Linked DNA regions of Drosophila melanogaster. The protein of the gene in region 1 interacts with the protein of each later gene in a biochemical or structural test. Each region holds a gene or a part of one and is shown on either strand. Other genes may lie near its edges. The genes, in order: Akap200 and Pka-R2.

Evidence for each region.
Region 2: the proteins of Akap200 (region 1) and Pka-R2 form a complex in vitro, tested with the Drosophila melanogaster proteins (one study listed by BioGRID).

Annotation. Positions count from the first base shown.
Region 1 is NT_033779.5:8,413,877-8,418,816, forward strand, and holds the start of Akap200 (A kinase anchor protein 200), read left to right. Parts: upstream 1-1,813; 5' UTR 1,814-2,010; intron 2,011-4,940. Other genes in the region: CG13398 (uncharacterized protein), read right to left, coding at 1-1,003. UniProt on the Drosophila melanogaster protein: Scaffolding protein involved in the regulation of PKA signaling and anchoring to the actin cytoskeleton integrating signals propagated by cAMP, diacylglycerol and calcium.
Region 2 is NT_033778.4:10,022,961-10,028,009, reverse strand, and holds the start of Pka-R2 (protein kinase, cAMP-dependent, regulatory subunit type 2), read left to right. Parts: upstream 1-1,967; 5' UTR 1,968-2,181; intron 2,182-3,650; exon of another isoform or gene 3,651-3,807; 5' UTR 3,808-3,959; intron 3,960-5,049. Other genes in the region: CG12128 (uncharacterized protein), read right to left, coding at 1-302, 367-1,087. UniProt on the Drosophila melanogaster protein: Regulatory subunit of the cAMP-dependent protein kinases involved in cAMP signaling in cells. Mediates membrane association by binding to anchoring proteins, such as Akap200. Might play an essential role in the regulation of neuronal activity in the brain.

The DNA.
Region 1 (4,940 bases):
GTGATAAGCCGCTGCCAAATCCATTGATCGCCTTTGATGAACCCGCCGGTCCCACGGGACTTCGCGGCTGATCAAGATCCAGCACTATATAGTTTACTCCGCAGCTGCCCGCTAAGCTGGTGGGCGTGGCCGGCTCTTGATTGGAAATTGGTTCCCTCGGCAGCAGAGGGAGCTCCAAGCGATTTACGTTCTCATAGCAGCGCTCATTGTTCAGATCAAAGATCAGAGCTTCCACATTGGCGTACATGTGCACAGCATCGTTGGGACTCAGAACTGGAGCTGGTGCTGGGGCCGATTCCAGAGGTGGCAAGTCCATCGTGCGCCTACGTGATGTCAACCTATTGCCGGAGGGCGGGGTGGAAAGCAAATCCGAGGCGGTGCCTTCCAGACAACAGTCCTGCAAAGCCCGCAATGGCTGATCCAAATAGGCACTGGGTATCAGGACTGGTGATTGCAAATTGGGCGGAGAGTCATCGACTTGCGAATCGTTGGCCTGCAGCGGATACGATGCACTTGTGCTCGAGGGCTCACTGTGGAAGTTGCCCAACTGGCGGCTCATTAGGGGAGCCGGCTCTAGATAGTTATTGCCCTCAGTACGGCCCATATTTACGGACACCGAATGAGCGGAGTTAACCCTTTCTCGTTCGCCCTGCACAAAGGCATCTGTATTCACCGCGTTGATGTAGCGCTGAAACATCGGATACAGCTGCTCGGCATTGTGGACTCGAAACGTGTAGATCCCTGGCCCAGACATACACCTACGTCCTGCTTCGAAGGAGAAGAGATCGTTATTCAACCCATAACGTCGGAGGTGTTGCAGTGCCCAGACAATGGGCTCACAGCCAGGCGACTGGAATATTAGTTCCCGGGGCGTTAGCTCCAGGTAGCCACTCCGGATGATGGGCGTACCCGGGGTGGGTTGCAGGTGAGCCACTCGCACTCGAAACACATTCTCATGACCGCGCAGCTCATTTAACTTGCTGCTGCTGGTGATGCAGCCCATGGTGTTGCACTGAAAGACGGAGTATTATGCATTGAAGGATTATCCACTCCAGTCATGTACAGTGCCTATTGAAATGCACACCTGGACAGGCAAGTCCGCCTGGCTGTTATCGCAGCGGGCATGGAAGAAATCGCAGGCCGATAAGAGCACCACCCACCGCCTCCACCAGCTGAAATCAGCTACCCAGTGGAACTGGAGGCTCTGGGGTGCAGTCGAATTGTGTTGCTGTTATCCTGGTTGACTCCTCCTGCTTTGGTTAACTCCTGATCGACGGGACTGCTGGCTGATTGTTGTTATTTGGCCACGGAAATTCCGTTCTTGTGGTATAAAATTTCTTCTGCGACTTTTCCCCTCGCCCGACAGAACGCAATTGTGAGCAACGGGCATGCTAACTTGATTTTCGCAAAAAGACTTACAAGAAACGCTTTTTAAAAAAGTAAACGGAAAATCAAAGACAAATTACAAGTAATTACACTTAAAGAATGAAAAACTAGTTTAGCCAAGTTTAAGCCAAGGAAATATTAATATTTCAAAATTTATAGAAAAATATTGCAAATGTCAGCTTAATAGAAGTTTTCTCTCGTTTAATAGAATAATCTTGAAGATTTCTTACGTCGTAATTTTTACGTTTCTGCAAATGTTTACTGCAATTAACAAGTAATAAATAGGATTCAGATGTAAACAAATATAATTTATAAAAAAATTTTAAGTTAAGGCATTTTAGTCATCTTAATTGTATGGTTAACCATTTGGCGGAACATCAACTTTGTGGACAGCACTATAACTAGACCCGAAGCCCTAACGCGTTCTAACTGCGAAAACATCCTAACGCGACGTAAATACCAGACCCGAGCGGACATTTTTTATTTGTGGAGCGCGCAACAAGAACGAGAAAAGAAACCGAAACGGAAAGCAGGCAAAAAGAGCTGCTGCCAGTGTAGAATCGCAAAGCAAAGAAAGAAGCAAGTGCGTGTGTTTTTAAACCGAAACCGAGAGAATCGAGCCAGGTAAATTCCACTTTAAGTCATAAGATCAGAACATAAAGGAGTTAATTTAAAAAAATAAATGAAAAAGAAACCAAAGCCAAGCAGGCAGACGGCTTGCGTGTGTGTGTGTGCGTGAGTGGTGCTACTTTTGAAATTCTCTATACCCGCTTTGAATTTCGTGTTTGTTTAAAGGAATTGTGATTGAAAAGGAGACAAAGAGTTATTGACGAAAAGTTTCTAACTGGTTTCAAAAATGGTAACTGTATTTGAGGCACAAGTGTTTGTAAAAGAGACGCCCGCCGACGCTCACACACACAGGCAGGAAAAAGGACGCCATGGAAGGCGGCTTAGTGTGCGTGAACGGTGAAGAATGGGAGAAGCGAAGACTAAAAGAGATATTTAAATGGAGTTTTATGCATTTAAGGAGAACTTTCTTTGTCATTAACCCCGCCCCCGCAAAATACAGCATTCGAATTTCGCCACCTTGGAGTAGTTGCCTTTTTACAAAATTTTTGGGTGTGCCGCCTTCAATGCGTCGGCGTTGCCACCACGTCGGCGTCCGCAGCAGCAGCGCAGGCAGTGACGGCGGCAGAGGCAAACACCATGCCGGTGTGGCTTTGTATCCGTATCCGTCTCGCTCTCTCTCTCTCTCTTTGTCTCTTCGGCTCAATCTAGCGCTCTCTCCTTTTTGTGCCTCGCCTTCCTTCGCCTCGCCCGCTCATCGCTCTGGTCCTTTGTGCCATCGCTTCGCCTTGACTTCTGGTTCATTGTCGTTGTCTCCTCTTTGTTTGCATTGTACGCCTGATTACACTTGCCAACATGTTTCTACCTTCTCAGCCAAACATCCTTGTGCAAGGTGCACGCACATAGCGAGTGCCCACTGTGGCCATTTGATCTTTGTATACGTTTCGATCCCTTTTGCGTCTCGGTTTACTCAGATTATCGATACGAGGAGGATCGTCTTTTTGTTTTTCCTACACTTTTGTTGCGAAAAACTGCGTCGCACTTTCTGCAGCGTCGGTTTGTCAGTTCGTCCGTCCGTCCGTCACTCAGTCGTTCAATCGCTCAATCGCAGACGGGCAGACAGCCACCGCCCTAACTGGCGTCGCCTACATGTCTTTGTGTGTGTGGTGTATGTGCTTGCGTGCCTGGGGTAGTGTGCCTGTGTGCGTGCCTCGCTGCATGTGTGAGTCCTTTACGAATGGAGTGGGTGGGCAGAGGCCGAGGAGGAAGAAGCAGAAGCGCAATCACAAGATTTTCGATTGTCAACTGCAATTTATACTACTGCTAAGAGAATTTTATGATCTACTTGCAACGCTGAATGCTAATGCCTTAAATTTTAGTAGCCTCTGTCAAGGATCTTAAATTCAAGTTCTTGTCACAATCATATTTCTTAAGTATATAATTACTTTTATTGTTAAATATTTGTACTGTACTTAATACGTAAAACGTATTTGACAAGTGAAATTTCATGATTGCTCTACTGAAATCTTTTCTTTGAAAATGAATGCTCTTCTTTGTGTTCTAACCTGACCAAATTTATTTGTCAGTGACCCAATTTAGGCACCAAAACTGTAAATATTTCCGAAAATCTTATCAATTTGCCTGTTGAAAATTTGATTAGGAATGGAGTTTGCATTCTGAATTTTCCCCACTCCCGAAATTTGAGCAAATTGAATTATTTCGCTGCGATTTCAGGTAGCGGTCGCCAACCGAATGTATCTTTGAAATTGGTTTATTGTTAAGGAGGAGGGGAGGGCGCCCCATAGAATTTGTGGCGGGTTTTCCCTTGAAGTCGGCTCGAATTTCGTGTACATATTTGCCAGTCGTTCACTGAGGACGAGCATATACATATAATGCTTTTTGGTGTCGCCTTTATTGGCGAATTTGTCAACGTTTGCTCAAACTCGAGTAAACATTGCATTGCGATACGGTGTGGAGGGACTGGGGGCAAACATGCCGTTTCGTCAAGTGCGATTCGCGGTTAACCAGCAATGCTCGATCGCACAATTGGCCTTAAAGCTGTCGATTAGGGTTTAAATTTAACTGCGAACTATTTGGAAATAAACAGAAATCTTTTCCGGAATTACAATACAGTAAAACTTGATATTCTAAGAAGTTATAGATGGTTCACGTACGGTTATAGAATTTCTTAGTGCAGTAAAGGTGGCAAAGCATGTACGAAAAACATATTTTCGACTATTTACTAACGCATGTAATGTTATTGACAACTGGAAAGATTCCAGGAACATGCCTTTTGTTTATCAACATAGTAATTATATATCAATGCTCGTGCAGCTACTTCCTGGAAATGAGTGTAAGTAAGCATGGTCATTTTGGAAGTAACCCATACGATCTAATGATTCGCAGAACGGAGACACCGGTCTGCCAGGGCACATTTGTGCGCTAAACATATGAAGCTCAAAGTCCGAAGCTCAATTGGGGAGCATGGGTAGCTGCGTATATATGTATGTATATGGGTGTGTGTGTAAGCCAAAGTGTTGAGAGGTCCTTTGTCACCGCTGCCATACATTCGTATATCTACGAAAGCGAGCGAATTTCTCATTTAATATGCAAACATCTGTGTGAAAGATGTTCGAAGGCTGCCGCTGTGATGTGCTGCTGCTGGGGCTGTGTGAGTGGAAAACGTTTGCAGATTGAGCTGATTTTCATTTCACGTTCTCTTCTCGAACAACTCGAGTGATATAGCCCTCGGTTCGACCACTTGAGGCCACTAATTCCGCAGGAATTCGGTATGGTTTCAGGCATACTATCATAATTGCTGGGGGTGCACATTAAAATTTTTTTTTTTTTTGTGTTGTAGGTGTTGTTGTTTTGGGAGGCATTTGGCGTGCCGAATGGGCATTGTATTAATGCCAAATCAACAGAAATGTGGAAAATAGAAATATATGTGTAGTCCGCACTAAAAATCAATCGCAGTAGGCCCCAGA
Region 2 (5,049 bases), on another chromosome or scaffold:
CAGCAGCTCAGGATCATCTACGGTCAGTTTCTCGTCGTTGGCCAAGGCAGATTCCAAGCCTTGCAGTCCGCCAAATACAATGAGCATGTGATTAAAGTTATATGATCGGTTGGGCACCTCATGTACGTTGGTTCCGCGATCCGAGGTACCCACCGTAACATCGTAGCCGGTTGCGTAGGGTGATTTGGTAAAAATCTCAGACATGGAGTGTGCGATGCGCACCTGGTAGCCCCAATAAACACCTGTTTCCCGACGTGGTTCATCCGGGCTAACTAGTGTTCCCCGCTGCTTTCTACAGCTCTCTGTTAGGACGAATAGTTCATTAGTTCGGCACTGGGAGCACAAATGTTCGATTTAAATGCCTACCACTTTGAGGTTCCATTTTTACAGTTACTCTGACGCCTGGTTCTATTGCCTTGTCAACCAAAACGTCGTTAAGCAGCCCCACGTTGGCGTAGCTGTGTCCCTCCTTGGCCTTCTTGTCGCAAATGACGCCCTCACGATACCTGAATTTGCTCTGTTGACGGAGATGGTGCGGTGTGTCCAATGGATTCAGCAAGCCAGAGTACTTAAGGTCTTTGTGCAGCGGGAAGAAGTATTTTCGGAGATACTGCGGGCATTCCAGATACTGCAATATGCGTGCCAGTTGTAATGAGCTGCTGCGCACAGTGCCAGTGCTGCTGCCTTCCCCATCTGCCTCGTAACTACGCTTTGTTTCCCGGGCGGTGGCTATACCCACGTCGTCGAAGACGATTACCTCGTTCACCCGAAAGATGCAGGCGGCCCGGGCTATTTGACCGGCCACGTAGGCCCGCAGCTCGTTGGATTGGGCATTCTCGAGAATTGAACCGGGAACAGCTATGCTCAGCGTGGACGGATTAGGCTTATCCTTAGCCTGCACCTCATTGGCTGCCTTTCCCGCCTGTGATTCTGCCTCTTTGGCTTGCTGCAGCTCCTTGAGCAGCTTGTCCTGCTTGCGCTGCCGCTTCAACGCTTTCCGCTCCTCGTTCACCTTCTTCCAGGACTTGTGGGGCCCAATAGGCCTCCCATTGCTGCTGGCTGTGGGGGCGGCGAGCATCGTTTTCATCAACAATTCGTTTACTCGATTGAAACTGTTGCAAACAAAATACGCACGTGCAACCTCGGTGGACAGTATGTGGTCTGAACATAATACCAGTGTTGGTATCTATCGGTTAATGGTATTAATCGGTCAGGTTCATAATAATGCACAGATTTTTCATTCCACCTGGTAACATATGTAGTTCTCTCAAGAAGTGAAATGAAAACATTTATTGCGATTTGAATTTAAAGCGCTTGATTCAATAAACATGGACAATGGGAAGGAACAGTCCAGTCCGGAAACGCACAGTACGCACCCGCTATTCAAAGCGAAATCCGGGAAAACCGAGATCCCAACCATTGATGAAGCTGTGGACTATCTACAAATCCGAGCTATAGAGCTATCGAGTTTGACATCTCCGCCGTTAGACTATACAATGATGCGATCATCATAACGCCCTTACGGATGATCAGTGGACAGTCGGATCGACCTGCATCTTGTTTTTAAAATATTGCATCTTAAACGTTTGTTTAGACCTCGCTTCAGTTCCCACTGTTTGTTATGACCACCAAAGGAATTATAATAATAAAAAATGATTTTTATATTATTAGTCCTTCAAAATGGACTATACGTCCATTTAATGCTGCATTTAATACGTCATTGTGTTATCATTTTAGGGGTTTCTTTCATTTAAGTAGTCAATTTTTCTTACATATATTTTTATTTAATTTTCTAAATATCTGAAGACAACCGTTGAAAAACTTACGTTACAATTGCCCCGCTTTGGTATGTTCTTCAGTATTTTTACACCCACACGCAAGAGAGCTGGCCGCGAGAGAGAGAGAGCTTCCGCTGAGAGCGAGCTTTTGCGGGAGCACCAAGTCTATTTAAGCAACCCGCAATTCAAAACTTTTTGTAATTTTTGCCTGACACGGAATCGGAATACAGAGGCTTCTGCTTGCGATATATTTCACCGTTCGCACTTGTTTACGTTTGCCATTAAAATTTTTCAAAAAATCTAACGAGTAACAGCGGTTGAATCGCCGGTGGCAAAAATATAGAACCGTGTGCCGTTGTGCGTTGGTGGATCGCTGGAAAATGTGCGTTTAAAAGTCGAAAAAGTAATTGCACCGAAGAGAAAAGCCCGAAAAACAAAAAAGCGTGCTCGCAAATTAACTCCAGCTTCGCGCCGCCCCCCGCCCCCCGCCCCTACACCTGTGCACTTATCACCTCTCGCTCTCTCTTCAATTGTGCAAGTGTATGTAAAAATGTGAGAGCAGAGAGCAAAAAAAACCACACTACGTGCGCGTAATAAAAAACGAAGTGGGCTGTAGGCGGGAGGCGGTGTAGGTGGCCTGCCTCCCAATCCCTCCCCCGAAAATACAAAATACATACATACAGAAATCTACCTATCCGCTGCTTTTGTTGTTGTGTTGTTGTTACTTGAAGGTTTTTTTCGGTGGGGGACAATCAATAAACACGAGAGCTGCGTGTGAAAAAGAGACAGCGAGTGCGGAGTGCAGGTGGAGAAAGGGGATCTCAAATTGGAGCGCGAAGAGATTGAGAGAGAGTGGGGAGCGAGAGAGGGGCTTGCGCATATGATTCAAATGCCGGTTTTGAGCGCTCTATTTTTCGAGTCTTAAACAAGTGCAGTGATCAATTAACTAAATACTTGCCCTAATCAGTAGTTTTTTTTTTGCCAGATATCATATCTTGTTTGGATTTAACAATAGTTAAAGAATAGTTCAAAAAAGTGCAAGTGCAAGTGCAACTGCTACCTGCGTTATCGACGCCTATCGATATTCGGAAATTGGGTCACGGGCGCCAGCTTTTCAGGATGCCAATCAGAATTAGCCCCTACATTATTACAAACCCAAAAAAGTCAAGCAAAATAAAGTCAATTTACGTAGGAGTTGCAAGAAAGTAGAGAATAAACAACAATACAAATGCCTAATTATACACAAAAACCAACATGTTTATTTAGGCCAACTTGAACAAATTATTTCGCAAAAAAAAAAACAAAAGTTCCTCCATCGTTTAGCAGGTTTTGATCAAATTTGAGCAATAAGCAAAATAATCACGTCAATTTTGTTCGCTAATTTGTGTTTCCTATTAGGTTTTGCAAAGTGACAACCAGAATTCACTTCATATTTTATTTATAACCGAACAAATGAATTGTGCTGGCTCGCTGTAGCAATTCAAAAATAAACAACAATTGCAGTTAAGCACACAAGAAAACAAAAATGTCTGTTCAAGCGAAAAACAATTTCGGGCACCCAATTAATTAAGCAGTTACATTGGCGAACAACAAAAATGTTTTTCTTCAAAGCTTAAACGAAATTTTTGCAAAACCTGGTTAAATATTGGTTTACGTGACTTTTGGCATGTTATTATTTCATGCCTTTTGGGAATTAAATATTAGGCATAAAACAAATAAAGTGAAACCAGACCAAAACTAATTACATACATGTACAAAAATTCACCGTATTGAAAATTGATAAGATTGAAAATTAGTTTAATGGCTGGAGCTCGTCTAATTGATGTTTCAAAAGTGTACCTCACGACAACTAAAAAATCGCTCAAATCTCAGTAAATACGAATCCAGCAATCAAAATCTATTAACCGAAATACTTTCAAAACATCAAACAACAGCGAAAGCGGCAATAAACACCAACATCAACGATCCAAAAATAAATGTAGAAAAACAAGGAAAGTCCATGAGAGTAACAAATTAAATTTGGTTTTAGCCAAAACAACAAAAGCAAGCTAAGGAACAAGGCAAAAAAAGTCAGCGAAGAAAGAGACGGAGGAGCAGGTGAAACAGGTGGACGCAGGAGACCCACCCACCCGAAAGAAACTATCACCACCAGCAGGTGACAGCAAAGCAGCAGAAAGTCAGGTGAGTATCGCGCCGCATTCGCATTGGAATCCATTCCATTCCATTCCATTCCTTTCCATTCCGCTGCCATTTGTGTTTGCTCCCCGTGCGATTAAATATTTCACGCGCTTATCAATTGCTCAAGGGTTGGCATTGCTTGATAAACAAACAACTAAACAACTAAAGAGCAAACAGAAATTAAAAAGCCAGCAAAAGTCGCCTGCTTGGGCAGGTGGGTCGCCAGGTGAGGTTATACTACAGCTAGTGTGGCGGGGATCGAAGTGCTCAGAAAGCCACTGAGATATTCTGGAATGAGCCCCACCATATATGTACCCATACCTCTACTCGAATATTGTTGAAATGAGTACGCGGGCCATAAATCAGTGAATACCCCCGGATAACTTTTATAGAATTCGCTTCTATAAGTTTGAAAATTAAAGAAAAGCATTCAAGTACAACTAGTATGACTAGTTGGCACACTTCACTTCATAATTTAGGAAAATTATGAGTTTTGCTGCTCAGTCAGGCACCCGTTGTTTCTACAAATGTATATATACTTCACCTTTATAAAGCAATAATTACTTTCATAAAAACTTAATAAAAGGGTTGGACAAGCTTTATAAAAACAAAAATAAACATATAAATGGTACTGTAAAAAGTACTAGGCGTGGACTAAATCGTAAAATCATTTTGCTCAAATAACTTAAAATTCTTTGTCTAGATTTAAATGTAACCCAGATTTCTTTGAAAATAACAACAGGAACTATTAAACAACTGGAAGGTGCCTTTCTATGCAGTGCCATCTATTTTTAAGACTTTTAAACTGCTTGAATTCAAAATTCCCCAGTTACACCCTTTTTTATGTAATCCGACTACATTTCCCGTTCTTAATATCCTCTTTTCCCCTGTTGCAAAACGGAATCCAGATAATAAATTCTCGAGCTCCTTCTCGATGAGCTGTATTTGCAATTAATTCCTCCATTTTGTAAACTTGGCATCTTCGCCAAACGGACAAAGGAGAATAAGAGCCCAGCAACACAGTTGGCCAACAACCAACAGGCGAGAGACAAACATCCATCAGCAGCTCAAAGAAGCTGGGTTCGGAAAATCG